3 linked regions of the Tribolium castaneum genome follow. The protein of the gene in region 3 binds, or shares a complex with, the protein of the main gene of each other region. Links are inferred from orthologs where the notes say so. Each region holds a gene or a part of one and is shown on either strand. Other genes may lie near its edges.

Region 1 (6,764 bases), on a different chromosome or scaffold from region 3:
CCTTTTAAGCCAAAACTCAGTTTTCTTTTTGCGGACAAAAATACTTAATTTTAGAAATTTCATGTGTTTTTGCATTTTTTTTTGCTTTTAGGAAGGCAATAATGTGGCAAATAGCGATAAAAACAAGACGAAAATTTACCAAATCAGACCAAAAAAGTGGTTTATTTTACTTTTTTCCAGCGTTTAGGCACATTTCTGGGGTAAAAACAAGGTTTTTTTTCGAAAAGTTTCATTAAAGTTAACTGGAAAAACACGAAATTGATGTCGTTTTCGCTTGTTTCACTTGTTTTGTTTTGCTTTTGGCTAGAAAATCGTCGAAATTGATAAAAATAAGTCGACGAACCACAATATTTGGTCGAAAATCGTGTTTCTGAGGCCTTTAAGCAAGTTTTTGAACAAAAATGTGTGTTTTTTTTAGAATGTTGCTAAAATTGGCCCAAAAATCATCAAAGTATTATATTATTTTTATTCGAGTGTTTTAATTTGTTTTGCAATAAAACGAAAGTGTACCAAATTTCCCCAAAAATGAGTCAAATTTGTTTTTTTTTCGAGTAACTAAAATCTTGTTTTTTTAAGATTTCGTTAAAACTGGCTGAAAAATAATTAAATTAAATCGTAAATTCCACAATTTTTCCTGTATTCCAAGGTTTTGGTATGTTTTATGGGATTTTTTTTGTAAAAATAAAACGAAAATGTACGTAATTTTGCTAAGCATTAAGTCAGAGTTGCCTTTTTTGAGTATTAAAGTACATTTCTGATGTTAAATCAAAGATTTACTTAGAGTTTTACAAAAACTAATTGAAAAATCACCATACTAGATCAAAATTGAAGTCATTTTAACTTGTTTCATTCGATTATTATTTCGTTCTTAAACCAGAGGCTCAGTTATGCAAGGTCTTTTCAAAATCTGCTTAAAAATTGCAAAAATCAATCGAAATTGATCGGATTTTGACTGTTTTACTGTTTTAGTTTCTAAACTAAATTAAACTCGTTTTTTAGTAAAGTTTCGTCAGAAATGAGTCAATGAAATATAAAATTTAGTCGAAAGTAGTGTTATTCTGACCTTACGCAGCCCTTTATCAAGCAAGTTTATCAAAATTTTTGTCTGATTTTGTAAAATCAAAATCAAAAAATCACATTTTTTTTCTTATTAGAGCATTTTGGTACGTTTTCCAGTAATTTTTTAGTAAAAATAAGACGAAAATGTACCAAATTTCGCCAAAAATGGAGTCAAATTTGCTTTTTCCTGAGTATTAAAGCACGATTCTGAGGTAAAAAAAAATCCGAAGTTTCACTAAATCTGATAGAAAAATTGCCAAACTAGATAGAAATTGCATTTATTGTTTCATTCGATTTACCTCTTTTTTGAATCAAATAAGGCTCATTATTTTGTAAAATTTTATCAAAACACCCCTAATAAAAATAAAAAAAATAAATCGAAATTTGAAAATGGTCATATTCTTACCTTTATGAAGTTTCTAAACAAAGTTCTTAACTAAAATATCAGTTTTTTTGTGTAATTTTGCCAAAAGTGCCCGAAAAATCATCAATTTAAATCGAATATTCCAATAATTTTGCCTGGTTCGAGCATCCTAATACGTTCTACAGCAATTTTTTCGCAAAACTTCTTTAAAAGTCATATGAAAATGTACCAAATTTGTTTTCGCTCAAGAACAGAACACAAAAAATGAATAAGTCGCCAAAAAATAATTATTTATCTAAAACCTGGCCAAAGACAAAATTTTGGGAAGACCAATAATAATGGCTAAGAACTTTCGACATAAATAAGTACAAAATTTAGCCAAAAGTGTTTCTGTTTTTGTTTGTGAGGTTGCACCAAAAATGATACTGATGGCCGCAAAATTATCAAATTAAATAAAAAATCACGTTGTTATAGTGTTTTAGTACAAATTATTTCGCAAAATTTCTTTAAAAATAAGACGAAAAAAATCACAGAAATTGGCCGGAGAGGAGTTATTTTTGTGCTAAAAACTTGTAATTTTTTCAGCGCGGGGTCTGGTTATTATTTTTTTTTGGTTAAAAAATGTTATGACCGACTAAACATATTTCCCTCAAAAGTAATTACTTTGTTTGTTAAGGACAATGTGGTATTGTGCCCCATTTCGGGGAAACCCCTCAAAGTAAAAGACTTAATTGACGTCAAATTCACTCCAATCAAGGATTCAGGCGACAAAAAATCCTTAATTGCGAAAGAATGTCGTTACATGTGTGCTGTAACACACGATGTTTTAAGTAACTCAGTTCCCTGTGCTGTTCTCAAACCAACGTAAGTTAATAACTTATTAACAACACTAAATAAAAAAATGACCGTACTTTTAGGGGTGACGTTGTTACGCTAGAATGTGTGGAGAAAATTATAAAAAAAGATTGGATACATCCGCTCACTAGCAAAAAATTGACAGAAAAAGACATCATTGTAATGCAGAGGGTAAAACAGTAACACTTCAATTTGTAACAAAAGTAATGCGGTTTTTATTATAGGGGGGTACAGGCTATGCCCAAACTAATGTGGAACTGGAAGCCAAGCAAGAACGCCCAGCTCTTCAAGCCTGAATTATTTAAAAAAAATTGAGGCATTTACAAAGAAAAGAATTGTGTTTTATATTTTATTTCATGTATTTGTGGAACAATTTTATGAAGAATCCTCTTGTACATGTTTTTTCTTTTTCTTTTTGATTGGTGGTTCAATATCTTCGTCAACTTCCGCCTTACGTTTAGTTTTTTTCTTACTCTTCTTTAAACTTATCTCAGGTTCTGAAATTAGTTGTCAAGAAGTTGTAAGAATTTTTTTTAATAAAAAATTTACCTTCTTTTATTAATGTGTCAAAATTAAGACTCTCGTCATTGAACGACTCATCAAAAATAATTTTTTTCGCTTTCTTCTTACTACTTTTTGTCACTGTCTCATCAAGGTTTTCTTCAAAAACTATTTTATTGTTCGACTCGTTTAATACGTTTGGAGTCGCGTCCAAAACATTGCTACAATTAATTGAATTAAGTTTTGTCTACAGGGTGAGTCTGTTATAAAGTATATTTGTTACTACATCTCAAAAACTAGTCCCACAGAATTCAGCGTTTGCTAGTAAATACTTTATATTTTTTTCTGTGCTTGTGATTTTTTTCAGAATTTTTCTACAATTCCGTACAATTAAAATCAATAAATAAATTAACTAAGCACTACTAATTATCTACATTTTTTTTATTTCCTGTGTCACCTGAAAACAAGCGATGGTTAATTAAATGTTGCTGAAAAAACTGTAACTAACCCCCAAAAAAAATAATTAAGTAAAAATAAAAAATTCAATTATTCGTATAAGAAAGGGTAAACAAATTCTGAAAAAGAAACACATGTATAGAAAAAAATATAAAGTATTTAATAATTTAATAACGCTGACTTTTGGGCGACTATTACTTTTTAAAATATGGTGAGAAATACTTTTAGCAGACTCACTATGTAGTTGTATGATGAAAAATAAACTTACATAATTCTACCTTTAATGTAAGGCAATTTTCCCTCGAAATTTGTTGACGTGATTTCTAGTTGTATTCTACTGCCAGGGTTCAAATTTTCGCCCAACCACTCATGTTTCTTGGGCTTTGGCAAAGACACATTAAAAATTTTATGTACCAGACAACCAACATGATCTTTAGTCTTTTTGTGTACGACACCTTCCAGTATTTTACCTTCCACAGGCTTAAAAATGAAGAATTCGGCCTCAATATCGGCGTGAATGTAGCAAGAATCATCACAGATTTTTCCTGCTTTTGACAACAATTTTGTATTTTTGTAACCACACAGAATCCCATCTAATCTACAAATAAATTATTAAAACTATTGGCAAAACTTTCATTTTTACCCAAAACCTGGCACTAAACTTCCCTATCCTTGAATTGAGGATCTCCTTAACTGAATTATTTAAATCGTTCAAGTGGTAAGGGTGGAGGGCTATGTGTTCCTGGAGGGTAAGTAATTCCACACACGAATTCTTATCCTCAACTAACGAGTTTAATTCGTTTAAATTAAAAGTTTTTAATAATTTTTGTTTTTTCATTTTCGGGGGGCCCACGTGTGGGTATGATAACCTCACTTAATTTTTTTGGAAACCTAACAAATGTGTTATAGTGCAAAAAATGACAAAAATATTAAATGACTTACGTGAAATCACAAACCCACCATTTATTAATATTAATTAGGCCACAAATCCACGATAATATATCACCTCAAGTCACAAAAAATGTGAGGTTACGTAAAATAATTAACCGGTTTTTTACACTTTTATTAATGGTTCTTATCTACTATAGTACACTTATGTAATTATACATGGCAATTGTATTTACTCCATGACCTTTTTTTGAATGTGTTAAAAAATTCTTTTTTTGATTTTTGATTCTGGTGCGCGCTTTCGACCCAATGTGCATTTGATACTCTCTTCTTGTTTCGTGTATTTGGAACCCAGACACTTTTTTGTGTCCTAGTGTTAGTCCTTACGTTCAATTAAAAGAAAACTTGTAGGAATTTGGTGTGTTTTTATATTTTTCAAAAACTCAAAAAAAAAGACTCAAAAACCATAGGATTCTAAGCGCACAGTTTAGTGACTTTCAATTTTTCCAACTCTGTGTCAGTCGTACCAATTATTTCAGGTGTTGACATTTTACGTGTTGTCTCGTTTCAAAAGTGGTAAAGGGCTTGTACAAAGTTAAATACAGTTGATAAATGTTTTAAAACTGTGTGAAATGGATTAATAAACGTAATTATTACAAGGAAACCTCTAAACCGGTGAGTTGTAGATATTATACTGTGATATCAACTCGTTAATAAGTTGGTGGTTCAAGTGGGATATGTTGCTTATTTTTTGTTTTTTAACAGAGATTAACAAAATTATTGCAAGAAATGATGCCAGATTAGTGAGGGATTAATTTTAAAGTTTTTGTTCTAGAGACAAAAACATAAATTTGTGGAACTGGATTCAGTGTTAGTGTTATTGTTTACTGCATGTTGATAGATTTAGTTGATTTCATATTACTTTTTATCTTACTACATCTGTTGTGTTATTTTTGTATGGATTAGAACCACCCAGACTCCGGAATAGATAATAATAATGACTAGATAAGTTGATATCACACAAGTACTTATCTGTTATTTCTAGTGTTTGTGCTAGTGATTGCTAATTATTTCAAGTTTTCCTTATTTATTTTTGTGTTTTTCAAAAATATACAGCTTTTATTGCATCATCTTACAGATAAAAGAACTCGTGAGAAAAATGAGTTTTTTTGATCATATTTCATGTTTCTGGTAAAGTAGTAATAAAACCGATTAAAAAACTTTAGGGACATGTAAGAAGCTAGAAAGGCATCTTAATGTAGTAATAGTAGTATGCCATAAAAATTATTATTATGATGTCATACTTTTTTGTGACACTATGTATAAACAAAAATATTTTTTTGAAATCCTAGAGTATAAATTGTTAAATAATAACTGAGCCACCGAAGATGGAAGCTGGGCTGGACCACCTGTACAGGGTGCTACAGACTTTAAATTTTAAGAAGTTTGAAAAAAAATTGTAAACACTCTGTAGTAATTCAGATCAATCAAACTCAGTTAATAAGCCTGTTAGGCCTTATTTAAGACGTACGTGATAATAATGTCATCAAAAAAGCACTGTTTCTATTTTTTACTAATTTTTAAAAAATAAAGGTGTAAAACCGATTTTTTTGTTTTTTTTTTAACAGCAATCCCTAAACTGAACTAAAAAAACCTTTGAGGACACGAAGAAGCGAAAAAGGCATCTTAATGAGCTCAAAAAAATAATAGCATTCTATTAGAAAAATATACTCAGTGTCATAAAGATTGCAACACCAAGAAGAAATAGAAATTTTTTGATAAAACTTGGCACAAATGTTAGACTTTTAACAGGTATTTAATACAGGGTGACCCAGCAGTGTGTAATCGGTCTATAACTTTTTTACTATTTGAAATATTACTATTCTGTACTAAAAATATTTTTGTTATACACAGGGTGTTGTATACAGTGTGGTGAACTAAAGTTACATTTTTTTAAATGCAACACACTATATATTTTTGCTTAATTCAATTCTACGCAAAAAATAATGTAACTTTATATAAACTATTATGGGTCAATCTCTTTTTGTTTCGGAATCATTCAACTTTTCGTTATAAAACAGACCAATTTTTGAAAAATCACTGCAAAGTCGCTTATGAATATTTTCCTATAAATTTGCAACATAAAAACTTAGAATACCTTGTAGTTTGAGGAAATAGACGACTTTTAGTTAAAGTACGCAGATAATACACAGGGTGTGCCAAAACGCAAAAAGTTCAATAACTCATTTTTTTCAAATGGAACAGCCTGTATTTTATTAAATGTGTCGATAGCATTTTTGATAAGCTTTCTAACGGTATAGGGCTTGCATAGCAAATTTAAAATATCTTTTGAGATTTTTCAAAAAAATATATTTTATTACAAGACAATATGTTAGCCTAGAATCTGATAGTCAACTGGTAATTAATTTTTGGATATGTACTAATGTGACTAATTACACAAGTAATCTAATTATTACCTGATACCTAAATGAATTTCACTCATCAAGAATTATTAATAAAATAAATAAAAAATAAAATTTTATTTTTTTGAACACTTTAAGAAATATTGTAAATTTGCTATAAAAACCGCATATCAATAGAAAGCTTATGAAAAATGCAATCGACACATGTAAAGAAATAC
Region 2 (5,542 bases), on a different chromosome or scaffold from region 3:
TCGTCGATATTACTTAGCACAAGTTCGTTTATTATGCATTGATGACATTTCATATTATTCCGATGACCCATTAAACTCGATTATTTTTAATATTCCTCCTAGTTTACACTAATACTGGGCCCAAGTGTAATTAGCCGAGTCACACCGCTCCCTTTTTGCAGGGAAGCGGACTCAGGAATGCATCTGCGTGGGAATCTGCTTGACCCTTATGGTGGTCAACTTCTTCTTCATAATATTCCACGTCCGTATGGACAACTTGAGCACGATTTTGGTGGCGGCGTTTTGCGGCATTGTGACGGCGGATTTCGGCTCGGGACTCGTGCACTGGGCGGCCGACACGTGGGGCTCGGTGGAGCTCCCCATCTTGGGCAAAGTGAGTGGAGAGCGAAATGTTTGATATTTTAAATTTTGTGTAGAATTTTTTGCGGCCGTTCCGCGAACACCACATCGATCCGACGTCCATCACCCGCCACGACTTTATCGAAACCAACGGTGATAACTTCATGGTGACCATTCCGTTTCTGGCGAGGATGGTTTGGGATTTTCTGACGCTGCCTGCGGACGGGGTCGAGAGGAAGTTCACGTGGAATTGCTACGTGTTTCTGTTGGCGATTTTCGTGGCAATGACCAATCAGGTAGAGTTAATTATTGATTCGAATTAATTCCTCGGGTCGTGTGTGCGCTTTTAGATCAGCTCGCGATATAATACTTTATAAAATGATAGGGCCCGTGGCAAACACGCACACCTGGGGTAACGCGCCCGATAAATCTGAGTTCATTTGCTGATTGGAGCCACTTTCCAGATACACAAGTGGTCGCACACCTACTTCGGGCTGCCGGCGTGGGTGGTGTGGCTGCAGGAGCACCATGTGATTCTGCCGAGGCGCCACCACCGCATCCACCATGTGGCCCCGCATGAGACCTACTTTTGCATCACCACCGGGTGGCTCAATTGGCCGTTGGAGAAGCTGCGCTTTTGGAGCATCCTAGAGCTGCTGATTGAACACACCACGGGCTACAAACCGCGGGCTGATGATATGAAGTGGGCGCAAAAGGGCACGTGATATTTTTGTCTTTGTTATGAATGGGGTTTGTTTTGTTAGTTCTACGTGTCTGTGGAATAATTGCCAAAAGTTCATTTAGTTGATTTAGCGATTTATTGGTGATAGAGAACACCACGTTTTGTTCGATTCAATAAATACATAATCAAGTGCCTGATTTTAAGATTGGACAACGAATGTAATGTACTTTTATTGTTACAAAATCATGTTAACCATTGGGGACCAAGCGATGGGCCTTGGGCCAATTTTTTAAATGTTTAATAGTTCTTACAATTTAGCCTAATGATTTGATCAATTTTAGATTTATTGAAGCTAGTCTTAAACACTCCAGGGATAATCTACACGCACTACCAAAGTAGTTAGAGTGCCTGATTTAGGTACTTTATGAATCATTATCATTACAAACACGCTTAACACCCAGTAGGGTAATTTGTACGACTTATGACTAGGCTAAGGTTTTTAATTCTCAACTTGTTTGCAATTATTTAATTATTTGAGCTTTATGACGAGCTCCGTCTGCGTTTTATTCAATTAATCAATAAGCAGTCGTACGCTAGAAACTACCACAAAAAATGGTTTGTTAACTAGACAAACACTGTGATTTAAACATCGCAATAAATCGCAGTTATTTTTACCATTTCTAGACAAAACTGCAATGGTGCGCTCAGCTCCATTTGCGTGTGCGTCATCTGACATTTCTCTCACTACGTTTACACAGCAGGGGCATAGCGGTGACAAACTATCAAATATTTTTTGAGGTTACGAAGTTGTTACAAAAAATACAGATTCACAAAACAAGAACTAATAAACGCAGAATCAAAAACCTAACGAAACGCAAATCACAAAACACAATAAACGAACAGAAAATACTTACGATTAACACCGATAACACACACTTTCGACAACGATGCGACGACGTCTATAATTTACTGTCAATGTCAATTAATGTTCAAGGATACCACCCTTAGATAGCCCTTAGCTGTTTAAATTTGCATTGTTTTTGACAATTTTTATAGCTTTGTGTTGGTAATGAAAAAATGAAATTGACGCACACGCAAATCGAGCTGACCGCCACTATAATAGACAAGACGGTATTTTATAAAGTCTGGAACAAATGCAATTATTTTATACAATAAAGTTGCTTGAATTTAATGTGTTTTATTTTTTTCGCACCAAATTGTTAACTAAACTTAAAAAAATCGTAACAATCAAAATTTCATCAAAAAAAGTTTTTATCGCAACTGCGACGCAACCAACAATACACTAAAGTAAAAGTATTGTTTGAACCGATAACAAGTTTCGGACTGATGCACTTTCGTGCAACTCTCCAATAACCAATACTTTTGACGTTTGACGCATTTGACATCTGAACGTTGTGCTATGTTTGTGTATGCCTTTAAATTAGTCAATTAGCTAGAAATCGAGAATGAATGACGAAGAATTCGACGGTGATGACGTGGGGGACGACTTCGACGACGACGTCGATGACGACAACATCGAGGAGCTGGAGCAGCCCGAGGAGGAAGGCGACAACATCGACATCCTCGCTCATGGCCAAGCCGGGGGCGGAGTGCCCAAAAACAAACGCATAACAACCAAATACATGACCAAATACGAAAGAGCTCGTGTTTTGGGAACAAGAGCTTTGCAAATCGCCATGTGTGCCCCAGTTATGGTGGAACTAGACGGAGAGACAGACCCGCTTCAAATCGCAATGAAAGAACTCAAACAACGGAAAATCCCCATCATAATCCGGCGTTATTTACCCGACCACTCGTACGAGGATTGGGGCATAGACGAACTCATAATAATTGACCACTAGTGTAATAAGATTTTGTTTTTAAGAATAAAGGCTAAGTAAACATCGAGTTTTATTTTAATTAAGCGAAAATCATTTCGTCGCGGCGGCGTTTCGGCTGATTGGGCCGAATCTGGCATTCAGGGTGGTTCATTAGTTCAGGGGGGCACGTTGAGACAGGTGACGATAGCAACATTTGCTTCAAATCGTAAAATAGGGCCGAGTCGTCGTTGGTGCAAAAACTGATAGCCACCCCGCTCTTCCCGGCACGGCCGGTTCGGCCAATACGATGGGTGTAATCTGAAAAAAAATAAACAAATTACAGATTAGATTTCCTTTTTTCTTCAGTTTGCACTAGTCATAAAGAAAAAAAATCTGGGACAAACTTATCTTACCTTCAATAGTCTTGGCCATGTCGTAATTAATAACAACGGAAACATCCTTAATATCAATCCCTCTCCCAGCCACGTCAGTGGCCACCAAAATGTCCTTAGCCCCCGACTTGAGACTAGCCAGTGCGTACTCTCTCTGCTCCTGCCCCTTACCCCCATGGAGCGTACACGCATTGTAGCCCAACTTCTCCAACCCTTTGGCCAAAACATCGGCCCCTTTCTTCTGATTAACAAAAATAATAATCGGTGGATCGACCCCTTTGGACAAATACTCCATCAACTTCTTCCTCTTATCGTTCTCAGTCATAATATGCACAATTTGTTCGACCCGTTCCGTCGGTTTCCCGATCGAACCAATGTACACAACCGCCGGACGTCTCAAATACGTCCTCGCCAGTCGCTCAACCGCCGGTGGCATAGTTGCCGTAAACATCACCGTTTGCCGATATTTCTTCTTACTGTTGTAATTCGCCAAAATTATTTTACTATCTTCCGCTTCTTCCGAGTCCGGTTTCAAGTTAGTGACCGGCATGTACTCCAAAATTTTTTGCACATCTGCCTCAAATCCCAAATCAATCATGCGATCGGCTTCGTCCATAACAATGTACGTGCACTGGTTCAGGACCAAGTAGCGATTTTCCAAAACATCAATAAGTCGTCCCGGGGTTGCAATAACAATCTCGCACCCCATTCGCAGCCTAAAACCTTGCTCCTCGCGACTTAAACCGCCCACAACCACCACAGTGCGGATCCCCAACGGTTGGCCAAACTTCACCGTCTCCTCCTCGATCTGTTGGGCCAATTCACGCGTGGGGGCTAAAATAATGGCATAGGGGCCCTGATCGGCATCTTCAGTGCGTTCGATTTTCGGGAGCGATTGAATCCAGGATAAAAGCGGGATCAAAAACGCAAGCGTTTTGCCCGAACCGGTCTCCGCAACCCCGATAATATCCCGGTTCTGCATCCCGATGGGAATCGCCTGTCTCTGGATGGGGGTTGGTTCCTTGTAGCCCACTTTATCGATGATTTCCAGCAGCTCTTTCTGGATGCCTGACTCTTTCCAGGAGCGGATGGGTTCCGGGATTTTGCCGCCTTTGATTGTGATGTTGTAATCTTCGCGGAAAATGCGCCAATCACGCTCGGTCATTTCCGAGACGTCTTTCTCCGACCAGTGGCGATCGTCCCACAGTTGCTTCTCTTCCTTACGTCTGACTTTCTTCAACCTGACTTTTTCCTGGGCTTTTTCCGCTTCGGTGCGGCGTTTTTCGAGTAGTTCGCCGTAGAATTTGCTTTGGTCGCGTTTTTGGGCCTTGATGTCGATTCCGGCGAGGTTTCCGCGGCCGAAAAATTGCACCTGGTGGCGCTCTTTGTACAAGGGATTGTAGTCCTGGGACGTGTCCTCACCGGCGTCCCAGTCGAACACGAACTTTCGGTCGTTCAAACGCCTAACTCGTCGCTTCTTTTTTATCAAACCCAAGTAGCGTTCTTTAATCGCGTCGGATTCCTTCTCCCTGTCTTTATCCTTCTGTTTGTCTTCGTCTTTTTCGCGATCACGCGGCCGCCGAAACTCCCGGTCATCCTTTCTCTGTTCCTCCTGTCTGGAAGCTTGCACGTTTTCGATTATTTTCCGTTCGGCTTCTTGTTGTTTCCTCAAACGGTCAACTTCCTCCTGACGACGTTTCAACGCCTCTGCGGCTCGCTGTTCCTTGGTCAAAAACACCGGCTTGCTTTTGGCCGCTTCTTCGGCCTTTTTCTTAGCCAGAAGCTCCTCCAATGACAAGGGTTCCTTCTTAGGTGCTGGTTCCTGTTTCACGTCTGATTTCGTGTCGGGTTTCGTTTCTGTCTCTGGTGTTGGTGATCGCTTTCGCGAGTCTTTCGATTTCTTGTCTTTATCATCTTTCCGGTCACGTTCAGACTTACTGTACCTGTCGTATTTGCTGCTGGAACTCTCGTACTTGTCTCGGGAACGAGACCTGTACCGTTTGTGGGGGCGCTCTTTGCTACGTGAGCGCGAACGCCGTCTCTTATCCAGGCGGTCTCTGCTACGAGAACGGCGCTTTTTATCGTTCACCATCGATCACTTTCAAGAAATATTAAATTGGAAAAACGTACACAAAACGTAGGTTAGGTTGACATTCACAAACGTCAAAGCTTATTCGCACAAGCGCTAAACTATTAGTACTATAACAAAAACACAATTCGAATTAACAATAATATTCCATTTATCACTCTGTAATCACGAAATTGTATACCGACTAACAAAAACTATTGCATTATGTTTTTTAATCACA
Region 3 (12,234 bases):
TTAACAACAGATAATGGTGTTTAAGATCAGCGAGCCTCACAATAAGATGTTTTGACAAGGGCGACCCGAAAATATTTACGATATCGATCGGTTCGTTGAAAGATTGCAACCTGTCTGCAATAAATCACACAATAAGCTTGCCTGAATAATTAATTAGCTTGAAAGGTCCTTGTGGTTTGGGCTAATCATAATAAAAATCATTTTACTTTGGACAGAAATACTTTGGACTTTTTTACTTTGGACATAATTGGCTCTCCCGTTTTTTAATGAGTTTTCTATTATAAATACTAAATTGAAGAGGTCTCCATTTTTTAATGAAATGGAAAAACTACTTAACTGGTTAGGTATTTTGCTTACAAGGGCAAAAATAATAAAAAAATCTCATCAAGTCCAATTGTTAGGGACAAATCTTCTTTTGAAGGTTTTTGGTTTTATATCTGTTCTTATTTCTTCACATTACATAATTATGTATTCTGTAAAACAGTAAAAAATCTAAGTACAACACATTTCTTCTACTTTTAAAGAATGCATTAAATTTAATTTTGACTTGCATACTTTTGCTGAAAACACAAAAAAAAATAATACGTAATAACGAGTATGTAGTACGCTATTAAATATTTAGCGAATTTTTTCATAGCTCTTTTAAAATAATTTTTAATTATACATCAATGTGCATTTTACACTTTGTATTTTTGTTATTATTAATGTTCTGATTTTGAATTTTTTGAAGTTAGTCACTTGCACTTTGCGTATATTTTAATTACAAAAATCGTAGTTGCCAACAAATTTATTTTTTTTGCTGCCACCTACAAAAACAAAATTAAAATTGATTTTTTTTATTTATTTTTCTATTGTTGTTACACTTTTATTTAGTTCTTAAAACGCTTATTTTACAGGTTTTTATCTTTAGAGTTTTTGTTTATAAGCTTCAAATAACTGTTTTGTTGTAGCTGTCGAATCATTATTATACATTAATTTGCTTCTCTTATTTGCATTTTTTATGTGGCAATGTAATTGTCTTCTTGTGTTTATTTTTATTTTTTTAAATTACCAAATAATTATTCTATTGCTGGCTGATTAGTGATTACTGATCACACCATTTTGCAGTAATTTTTTTTAATTTGGATTAGAGAAAAAGATATAACAGCTACAAGGGAGAGAACAGTAAAAGATGCTCAATAATTTAAAGAATTTTGAATTAAAGTCAAACTTTTTCAGTCTGCGGATTATTTTTTCTTTCACAAACAATTCAGATAGGGATAAAAAGGGTAGATAATCGAAAAGACAATTCATTTATCATCGATTTTTTTTATTTGTGAGCTAGATAAATCATTTGAAATTGGTTGAAATAGTTGGTACAAATTAAATGCACAGTATTTTATTTGAACGATTTATTTTATTTACTGTGCATTTATTATTTTTACTGTGCATTTATTATTTTTTACTGATCAAAATCGAATTTATTACTGATCGCTTTATTTAATTTAATTTAATTTAATTTGTCGATTTTTTAAATTCTTTTAGTTTTTGGTTCATGAATGAGCTAAAATTTCCAGAATTGGCTGAAACCACTGAGTATATGGTGAAACAAAGAAGCAAATAAAGAATAAATATTTGCATATTAAAAACATTGTTTTTTATTTTGTTATACTTTTCTGTTTCTTATTCTTTTTTCTATGTTTACGTTATTATATCTTATTTTCAAAAACTAGTCGGTTTGTTTCGACAAGATCTGTTGGAAGTTATTTTCTGGTGAAAAAAGAGAATTTACTAAAACATTTTTCGGACCTGCTTTCGGGACTTTTTTAGTTTATTTCAGTGCCTAACTAGCCTGAATTTTAAGAGCAATGAAATAAAAAAAATGATCTATTCAAATAATGGTAAGCACAAGGTAAAAAAATACAGAATCGGCATTTTCAATAGTAATTCGAGACAAAAGTACAAAAATTTTAGTGACAATAAAAAAAAATATGGACGTATCCGAATTGCACACCATGGTGAGAAAAACAGGAACCTCTTGACCAGTTGTCCCTTATCGGTAACCGAGCGGTGCATCAAAATTTTATAATTTTATTTATTGAAGGAATAATAAAAAAAATCAGTATATTATCTATCAAACATTATAGGGTAAGTTCGAATAAGATAGATTACATACAAAAGATTGCAATTTGTTTTTCATTTGGTTATTCAAAAAAACTTTTTTCTTTACTGCTCGTTAACTGAATTTTTACATTATGTCGTAACTTAAAAATTTAGTAAATTATTTACAAATGTGAAAATATTCACAAGGAGAGACACTTCCTATCCTTACCTGTGTTTGATTTTGTTGAAAATTGACGGTGGTATTCAACGAAAAAAAAAAACTTTTATCAAAAACTGTTTAGTTCTAATTTTCATTGGGTAAAAAAAGTGTAAAGAGTAAAGTTGTGAAGAATCAAATTTTCTGCTAAAAACTGGAGACCCTATCTCTATTCTCAGCTGTTTTGGTGCTATCCTGTCATTCAGCCACCAGTAAAAAAAATAATTTTTGTTTTAACGTATTTATTAAAAACCGAAGTGTTTTGCAATTTTTCGTGTTTTTTTTAGGTGTTACGACCCACATGGAGCTCTCCAAACTGGCCTTCCTCTCAAACCTAGCCCAACTAATCCCCATGCCCGACTGCAACCAATCACCCCGTAACATGTACCAGTGCCAGATGGGCAAACAAACAATGGGCACTCCTTGCCACAACTGGCGTTCCCAATCCGAAACCAAACTCTACCGCCTCCAAACACCGGCGACTCCCCTTTTCCGACCCGTCCACTACGACAACATCAACCTTGACGACTTCGCCATGGGCACAAACGCCATTGTTGCCGTTATCAGCTACACTGTAAACCCATTAACTTCGGAAAAATCCCCAATTGAACCATCTGTTCCCAGGGCTATGACATGGAAGACGCAATGATAATAAACAAAGCCGCGGACGAGCGTGGTTTTGCCCACGGTTCCATTTACAAAACCGAATTTGTAACACTTGAACACGAGTCTTCGTATTTTTGCCGAAACCCGGAAAAACCGGAACTGGCCGAATTCTTAGACACGGACGGCTTGCCAATCATCGGACGCCGAATGAAAGATGGGGATCCCCTGTACTGTTACTACAGTGTGGACGAGTCGGTGTACAAAGTAACCAAGTTTTCGGGGAAAGAGGAGTGTTTTGTCGACATGGTTAAACTGTGCGCCAGTTTTGAAACGACCAATCGGACGGCGTGTTTCACGTTCAGAGTCCCGGTACTTCCCCCACATTTTTTTTTATTGAGTTCTTGGTAATTATTTTAATTGTAGCGTAACCCGAACGTTGGCGATAAATTCGCAAGTCGGGCAGGACAAAAGGGCATTTGTTCGCAAAAGTGGCCCATGGAGGACTTACCTTTTACGGAGACAGGGCTTGTGCCTGATATTGTCTTCAACCCTCATGGGTTTCCCTCTCGTATGACCATCGCTATGATGATTGAGGTCATGGCTGGGAAATCGGCAGCGCTTCATGGGCTAGTACATGATGCAACTCCCTTTAAATTTACAGAAGAAGACACTGCGATTGATTATTTTGGTCGGTTGTTGGAAGCAGGGGGTTATAATTATTACGGGACTGAGACCATGTATTCGGGGATTGATGGTAGGGAAATGACAGCGCAAATATTTTTCGGGATCGTTCACTACCAGCGCTTGAGACACATGGTTTCGGATAAGTGGCAGGTGATTAAAAAAAAAGTCGGATCACTTTTGTAATATTGGGATATTGGAGATTTTCATTCTGTTGTATTCGGACCAAGTTATGTTACTAAATTTGACAGTTGGCAATGCTTTTACTACTGTCATGAAAATTTGAAGTTTGTCTTTGACATTGTCAAAATTAACGAATTTAAAAGAATTAAGCGTGCAGCAACGAACTAGCCCCCTATTGCTGTTTGTGTAACCCCATCAAATTGGCTGGGGGGCCACCAAGACACTCAGCAACCACTGACAAAGGTTATTTTCAATATTATGACGAGAGAGATTAAATCAATCTGCGGCTCACAAAAAACAATAACTAATTATTTGTCTAAAATAACTTGTAAAGTAGGTTTTACCGGCCTTCTTTTTTGTCCGTTCATATTTTCAATACACAAGTTTATTTGGTGTATTTGATTAGTTGTCCATTAATTTATTTAGATTTCTTATTAAAATGTGTTATATTTGATAGTTTTTGTCATGTTTTGACTGTAAATAATATTGAGTGAAGCAGTTTTATGATTGTCTGAACGTCCCTTTTTAGCGACTTAAAGTGCAAATAATGTACTCAAATATCGGTAAAATGACTAAGCAGTGTTACTTACAAGCAGAAAACTTGACTGACTTAACGTATTTTGTAGGATTTGAACAATTTGACACTGACATATAACGTAACCTGTTTTTGAAAGCCTAAATTCGCGGTAAACTAACTTACAATGCCAAAATTTTCAAGTTTATGCGATTTTGTTTAATATTATTATTATTGTTTTATAATTTTTGTGTTGTATTTTTTATTTTTTTTTTATGGAAATTTGTAGGTGCGTTCAACTGGGCCGACCGATATTTTGACGAGACAGCCCCTCAAAGGGCGGAAACGAGGAGGGGGTGTGCGATTTGGAGAGATGGAACGTGATTCGTTGATCAGTCATGGCGCTTCGTTTTTGTTACAAGATCGCTTATTCCACTGTTCCGATAAAACAACAGTACGTACATAATTATTAATTAATACTTCTAGGTAAAAAAACGTTGCTCGAATAGTGTGAGTTTTTCACCCATCTTAGCTTCATTTTTGACAAATTTTCTCTCTTCTACTGTATGTTTTTCCGAAATTTCGCGAAATAATTGCGTTTCTGGTTGAAAATCGTGTTAAAACGTTTTTGCGCCCAGATTAGTTGGTTTAAAATGTGTTTAAATACTTGAAAAAGGTTGAAAAAACAGCATTATTGATTTAATTTGCTGGTTTTTTGTATTAGTTAAAAATTTTGCGAGATAATTACATTTCTTATTAAAACACGCCCAAAAACTCTGATATACGTTTTGATATAATTTTTACGGTTTTTTCGGTCCTATATCTCAGCGGTTCCCCACCTTTTTCACCTTTCGAACCCCTTCTAACATCCGACAGATATTGTTGAATTATTTATTACGTATTTTTTATATTTTTTGTTTTAAAATTAGGAACAGATTACAGTAAATACTTTCAGCCAATTCATTTGGAGGAATTTTAGTAAAAAAAAAATTGCGTCCAGTATTTGATTTATTTTGAAAAAATGTCACTAATGTTGGCAAAATATCCTAGATGAAAATATAGATACGAAAACACAGAAACAGGGTCAAATTCCGTTATCAGATAACAGTTTTTGATGTAGATGTGACAAAAAGTGCTTAATTAACGCTGCAATTTCCAATTTTTATTAAAAAGAAAGCAAGGAAAATGCAAAATAATTATGTGAGATAGAAAACAAATAATACGAAGGAATAAAAAAAAATGCCAATATTATTTTTAAACTTTTAAAGTCTGAAGAAGAATTTAGAACTTGCTTTAACTTCTCGCCTATTTCAGTTCAAATTACAGAAAACTGATAACCAGTCTTCATAACATATAATTGTTTCCGTCGATAAATAAGTTTATTTTTTCAGCAGAAGCGTCCTTTTTTATTAAAATTTGTGTACGAAAAGCTGATTTTTGTTCATAATATTATTACCTGTTCTTATTATTTAATAAGCATTGAGTTCTGTTTTCATAGATATAAAGTGGTAATATCTCTCTCCAAGTGTTCGATAAAAACGCGTTCAACAAACTATCTAGAATCCGTAAAAGTCGAAATTTTGATGAATCTTGAACATGAAAACATAATTAATTTTTTAAAGAAAAATAATTTATGGCCCACAGAGACAATGGGGTGCTGCCAATTTTATTTCAATTTATTATTTTGTAATTTTTACGTTAGCCATTTTATAAAATTCCGCCATTACAATACTTTTTTTGGCAAACCTGGGAAATACTGCTAAGTCTATCCTAACAAAAACATCTTATAAAAAATCTGTTTTTAGCTCAAAAAAGTGGTAGAAACCTCAAAATTGGCATAGTAACACTATTTTTGGATGTAACTGTGTGATTTTTCGATTTATTTTTGACGGAAGTCTTCGAAATAATTGTGTTTGTGGCGAAAATAAGGCCTTACGTTAGACAAGTGCTTAAAAGCTTGAAAAGTGATGGTTTAATTTGACTTATTTTATAATTTTTCGGTTCGTTCTGATGAAATCTCGTGAAAACAGGGGTTTTTGGCTCAAAAACGTGCTAGGAAGCTCGAAAAAATGCAATGATAACACAATTTTTTATCGTAAATTGTTAATTTTTTTTGTATATTTTTGATGAAATTCCTCGCACTAATTAAGTTAAGAGATTTAGTTATTTTTCAAGCCTTTTTTGGCGAAATCTCTCAAAAAACAAAAATGTTAGCTTTTCATTTAATTTTGTGATTTTTCGTCCACCTTTAACGAAATTGTGCGAAAAACCTGAGTTTTTAAATGAAAAACGTGACAAAAAGCTAAAACGGCACCATTTCGGACGTAATATCTTGACGATTTTTCGATGTATTTTTAACAGAATTACATGAAATGATTGCATTTCTAGGAGAAAAACGTCATAAAACGCTCGATAAACGAAAAATTTAATAAAGCTTTATCTCAGACAAGTGTTTATACGCTCAAAAAAGCTAAAAATTATTTAGTTTTTGATTTAATTTTGTGGTTTTTCGTTCCTTTCTAACGAAAATTCGTGAGAAAACTGAATTATTAAATTATTATATTACCTTAAAAACGTGCAAGATAGCTCGAAAAAACAATAGTAATACAATTTTTGTACCTACCTTAGCGATTTTTTGATTTATTTTTGACAAGATACCTTTTTTTTGTTGGTAAGCCTTCTTTTTAAAATCTAAATCCTAAAATATTAACACTGTTTTAAAACACGTTTCCGATAATTCGAGTAAATTTTCTGACCGGTTTTTGTGAAATCTCGTGAACTAAACGTGCCTTTATCACGGAAAAGCACTTAAACGCTCGAAAATGGTAAAAATGCACCATTTTTGAACTAGTATTCAACAATTCTGCGGTTTATTATTGCGGAAATTTCGTAAAAAAATTTCGTTTCGACTGAAAACCTGTGTGAAAATAAATAGATTTTTCGCGGTTTAGTGAAATCTTGTGGAAAAACCTTTTATAGTTAAAAAAAACAAAAAATCCCATTTTGGAACTATTTTAGTGATTTGTAAGCTTGAAGTAGAAGAATTTCGCAAAACGTAAGTAACGGCACTGACGAAAAATTAAATTAAATTAAACATCCACTAATCCACTTCCTATCCAGAAATATCCCAAATGGATTAAAATTTAATGTAGCGATTGTTTTTTAGGCATTTATCTGCACCTCTTGTGGCACTCTATTGGGTCCAGTGACTGTGATAACCCGAGTGGCTGAAAAAGCGAACCAATCCACTTGCAAGGAAACTTGTAGGTTGTGTGGCCACGGCCGAGACATTTCCGAGATACAAATCCCTTACATTTTCAAGTTTTTTGTAACCCAAATGGCGTCGTGTAACATAAATGTAAAAATGTTAACACAACACGTGTAATTTTTTTTTTTTGTAATAAAAGAGAAAATAAACGATAATAATTTATTTTTGAATCTTCTTGCGGTAACGTGAAACAGATAAAACAAACACAAAAATAAAATAAGTTATCTAATGCTTACTGTACAGCGTTACAATGAAAATGTCGGTCAATTGAATAATTTAAGGAAAAATTGGCTAGTTTGTACAAGTATTTCCCCGGTTTTGTACAAGTGACGACAACTGTACTCAACCGACAAAATGACTACTAATACGAGCGATTTAAAGTCAAGATTACGGCAAATATGTGCACACACATACGGGCTGTCGTAATTTGGACTTTACCGGCGATTTCGGCAGTTTATTTGGTTGCTTGTTCCAAGTAAGCGATAAGATCCGCCCGTTCTTGCGGCTTCTTCAGACCAGCGAAGACCATTTTTGTTCCGGGGATGTATTTCTTGGGGTTTTCGAGGTACTCAAACAGCGTGTCTTTGTTCCATGTGATTCCTGCAACAAAAATTGCCAGTCAGGCTGGGACTATGGAATTTAAATGCAAAAAAGTTGAGCTTTGCACTCTAAAGCTAAAGCTACAACATATAACAATAAATTCAATAAATTTTTAACACAAAATTGTAAGTTAGCATGAGTATTTTCAGATCTAAAGAATTTCTAGTTTGTTGATGATAAGGCCATTCGACAGTGCTTATTCTTTTTTTGCTCGGTACTTATACCTCTTACAACCACGCACATAATATCAGTCATACTTCATGCTTATCATATTGTTAGTGTAGATAATTTATACTTAACTGAAAAAAGCTTTTCTATATAATACTGTAAGCGTTGACAAAGATAATGAATTGGTCAAAAATAAAGTAAATTATTACAAGAATAGATTTTTCCCACTTTCTACCCTTTTAATCCTACAATTTCTGAAAATTTGTCCAAAACTGAGAAGAGTTGTTAAAAAGCTTAGAAGTTTAGAAGCTTATTGAATCAGCTATGGAGGAAAAAATGTAGAAGTATCGAAGGTCCAGACCAATATAAACAAAAGTTTTGTACATTCTACATTAAAAAATAAAAAAAAATTAAAACAGTAGTGGTAGTCAGGTAGGAATGGCGACATTAGAACACTTTGTGAATTTATACTATTTCATTATAGTATATACTATTTACATTATTTATACTATTACATTTTTAAAATGCCGAAAACGGTGAAAATTAGTAATTAAGTTTTTTTTAAATAAGCTGTGGCGTTAGAAGTTTTGCTATGATAGCAGCACATTGTTCTAATTACGCGTCAGTGTATTATTTTTAACATAACTAGCTCCATGTTTGTTCTGTTATTCCTACAGTTTAGTTATGGAACTTCTGATTATTTTATTCTGAAAATCGTCAACAAGGAATCAACAAAAAACACTGGATAACACTTATGGTGCACCCCAAACAGGCTGGATAAAGACACTAACAGTAACATTTAGAAGTTTAATTTGTAATAAATTTTATGACCTATAGGTTTTAACCTATATAATATAACCAGGCGTTATAAAGGTTAGAAGTTACATAATCGGAAATAACCACGCACAGATAACGGTTAGATAAGGTGGTTATTGTGATTTTTTTGTAGGAAATTCAATTTTTTTATAACATTCCCCCTAACATTTTTTCTTGCATCTGTAACCGTATTCGTAGCGTTTTGAGTGCCAATTGGTAGTCTTGAAATTTTTTTAAATATAGTTTCCGATAACATTTTTGCATAATGTTTACGTCTTATTATTGAAAATTAATTGCGCTCTCTGGCGACATTAACGGAACTAATGAAGACGGGAACGTCTTTTTTGTTCGTCTTAACCTTTAGACACCGGTTGTTGGGATAGCAGTGTCCTCAACCGGGCGATATTGTCTCCACTAAATTTCTCAAAATTATAGCAATTTTTGAAGAAATGGAAATCTTATTTTTGACTTAATTAACGATATTTGTTTATTAATCTGGAGATTTTGATACGGTGTGGTTGCACCCCCTGAATTTTCGATTGGCACTTTGGCCAAATGTCACATTTTGAAAAAAAGATGGCTGTTTTTCGTGCTTTTCCAGGTGAGTTAATATTGATTTATTTACCTTTGGCTTTATTGGCGTCGGTGTAAGCAAAACCGGCGGCTTGCCCCGTTTTCCGTCCGATCAATCCGTGCAAATTGGGGCCGGTCTTGTGTTTGCCTCCGGCCTCGACAGTGTGGCACTGCGCGCACCTTTGGACGAAGAGTTTCTTGCCCTTTTCGACATCACCAGCCGGTACTCCCATGATGCTCGCTTAACTGCAACTGATAATTTTCGATAAATCCCGTTGCAAAAAGTGCTATCAGGTGATGTAACGCTAACGCAATACCGTCCACGTGTCTAGAGGTTAGGCAAATTCCACGGAGCGTACTTTGGAAGACCGTTGACGTCACACACGTGATTCACAGTCTGCTCGATTCTTCGGGATTCTCGCTGATAAGAGATAATTGTTACGCTAGATGTGGGTGAAGGTGAAGTTTTTGAACCGGAGCCAAACTTACATAACCAAAAATTTTGAAGCAGAAATGCGAAGCGAACGCTCAAAAAATGATGTGACAAGTGAATAAGGCCACTTGTTCAAAGTCACTTGTTATGTAATCAATCAGCGGATTAATTATCGGAAAATTTGGGCATAAATTACGAATTCATTGCGGTCACGTGAGGTGAAACGACGTGGCTTTTGCCAGTTATGAATCGAGATAAAATTGTGAAATTGCGGAAAAATTTAGTACGAACCTGAATTCGCCGACCTGCTGCTCTCGCGAACTGGAATTCACTGATCGATTTCGATTATTTCGCCAACTCCCGCGCACGGATTGTCTTGCTACGAAATTTTAGGGTTTAGTTCGGCTATTAGGCGCTAGAGGGCGCGTCAGTATTTCCGGTAAAGCCCACTTTACACAAACTAGCCCATTTTTCTGTGAGTGTATTGGTGGTTGCATATACATTAGGGACACCAAAACGCGTTCCAACACAGCTCATTGATTACTTAAAAAATGCTATTACTGTGGCTATTATAATAATTGTAATTGGTAAAATTAAAATCAGTAATTGTGGCATATTTACATATGGGCTAAATGGGCTATAGCCTAGGGCGGTAAAAATATCTTATTTTGATTACGAAAATATGTAGTAAATAAATCAGTCGATTAAATTTTTAGTTCTTATATTTTTTATTTCTTAAGTTCATAGTTAATTGAATAATTAATGAGTTTTAAGAAATTTTTAGTACTTTTAATTCAATTATAGGACATTTACGATGAGTAAAGGTAGCAAAAAACCTGAGTAGTACACAATATGGAAAAATGTTTTTGAAAAAGTCAACGACAGTCAACGACAACATAATATTATAGGAAAAACTGTAAAAATGGCTCCGTTTTTTGAGAAACAAAACTTTTAAATAAATGCAGGATAATTTTTTAATTGATATCTTTGACAATAAAGGAAACATTTAAGAAAATGTGTAGTAAATAAATCAAAAGATTCAATTTTTAGTTCTTCTATTTTTTTACTTTTTAAGTTCATAGTTAATTGAATAAGTTTTAAGAAATTTTTAGTACTTCCAATTCAATTATAGGAAATTTATGATGAGCAAAGGAAGAAAAAATCGGAGTAGTACACAATATGGAAAAATGTTTTTGAAAAAGTCAACGACAACGTAATATTATAGGAAAAACTAATGTAGAATAATTTTTTAATTGATATCTTAGACAATAAAGGAAACATTTAAGAAAATGTGTAGTAAATAAATCAATAGATTCCATTTTTAATTATTGTATTTTTTTACTTCTTAAGTTCATAGTTAATTGAATAACTAATGAGTTTTAAGAAGTTATAGGAAATTTACTATGAGTAAAGGTAGAAAAAACATGAGTAGTACACAGTACTTTGTTTGCGACACGAGCGTAGCGAGGATTGCATGAATTGCGGATGTGTGAAGTTGCTTTCCAAAAAAGTTACGTACAATATTTTTTGTAACGAATATCTCAAAAAAATATTTTTTTTATAATTTAGTTTTATTTCAGGTTTTTTTAAATTTAATTTTCAAAACTATCTTGCATTTTTTGAGAACTTGTGCTAGAACTGGCTTTGCTATTTTATTCACATAAACTGAAAAAAATGTAACTTTTTTTTATCTTTGTGAAAAAAAAAACTCTTGAATATAGTTTTAGAACAAATTCTTTTGAATTTTTGGGAATATAAGTTTTTTTGGAAAAACTAAGACTTGATTAATGATTAAAGACCCTGGTATAAAAATAATTCTCGAAGAGCGTTTTTCAATATGTTTAATTTAGTAGAACTTGGGAAGTTAGGCGGGGAATGGGGAGAATGAGCAGTGGCGTAGCAAGAAAACTATCCTGCGTCAAAAGGGGTTTATATTTATATTTTTTATTATTTATTCTTTCGTGTGATCAATAACAGCAATGTCAGATAATAAATAATCACATCTCATGTTACTGTCCTTTGACTTCATATAGGTAAACACAGAGCAGAGATATCGAACTATCAAAGAAATAAAAAATTAACAAAAAATGACG

Evidence for each region.
Region 1: Polr1B (region 3) and Polr1F share a complex: the UniProt entries of both Homo sapiens proteins name them as parts of the RNA polymerase I (Pol I) complex. The link is inferred for Tribolium castaneum from reciprocal best matches to the Homo sapiens genes POLR1B and POLR1F.
Region 2: Polr1B (region 3) and Polr2F share a complex: the UniProt entries of both Homo sapiens proteins name them as parts of the pol I pre-initiation complex. The link is inferred for Tribolium castaneum from reciprocal best matches to the Homo sapiens genes POLR1B and POLR2F.

Annotation. Positions count from the first base shown.
Region 1 is NC_087394.1:6,582,495-6,589,258, reverse strand, and holds Polr1F (DNA-directed RNA polymerase I subunit RPA43), read right to left. Parts: upstream 4,427-6,764; 5' UTR 4,178-4,426; intron 4,127-4,177; 5' UTR 4,074-4,126; coding exon 3,886-4,073; intron 3,834-3,885; coding exon 3,504-3,833; intron 3,001-3,503; coding exon 2,828-3,000; intron 2,776-2,827; coding exon 2,654-2,775; 3' UTR 2,614-2,653; downstream 1-2,613. Other genes in the region: nitric oxide synthase-interacting protein homolog, read left to right, coding at 2,100-2,287, 2,341-2,449, 2,503-2,574. UniProt on the Homo sapiens protein: Component of RNA polymerase I (Pol I), a DNA-dependent RNA polymerase which synthesizes ribosomal RNA precursors using the four ribonucleoside triphosphates as substrates.
Region 2 is NC_087398.1:1,180,811-1,186,352, forward strand, and holds Polr2F (DNA-directed RNA polymerases I, II, and III subunit RPABC2), read left to right. Parts: upstream 1-2,487; coding exon 2,488-2,883; 3' UTR 2,884-2,929; downstream 2,930-5,542. Other genes in the region: Kua (plasmanylethanolamine desaturase 1), read left to right, coding at 162-373, 417-635, 804-1,064; probable ATP-dependent RNA helicase DDX23, read right to left, coding at 2,942-3,159, 3,255-5,325. UniProt on the Homo sapiens protein: DNA-dependent RNA polymerase catalyzes the transcription of DNA into RNA using the four ribonucleoside triphosphates as substrates.
Region 3 is NC_087399.1:7,552,625-7,564,858, reverse strand, and holds the end of Polr1B (DNA-directed RNA polymerase I subunit RPA2), read left to right. Parts: intron 1-2,586; coding exon 2,587-2,873; intron 2,874-2,923; coding exon 2,924-3,274; intron 3,275-3,328; coding exon 3,329-3,739; intron 3,740-4,572; coding exon 4,573-4,737; intron 4,738-7,449; coding exon 7,450-7,668; 3' UTR 7,669-7,713; downstream 7,714-12,234. Other genes in the region: cytochrome c-2, read right to left, coding at 8,006-8,151, 9,761-9,941. UniProt on the Homo sapiens protein: Catalytic core component of RNA polymerase I (Pol I), a DNA-dependent RNA polymerase which synthesizes ribosomal RNA precursors using the four ribonucleoside triphosphates as substrates.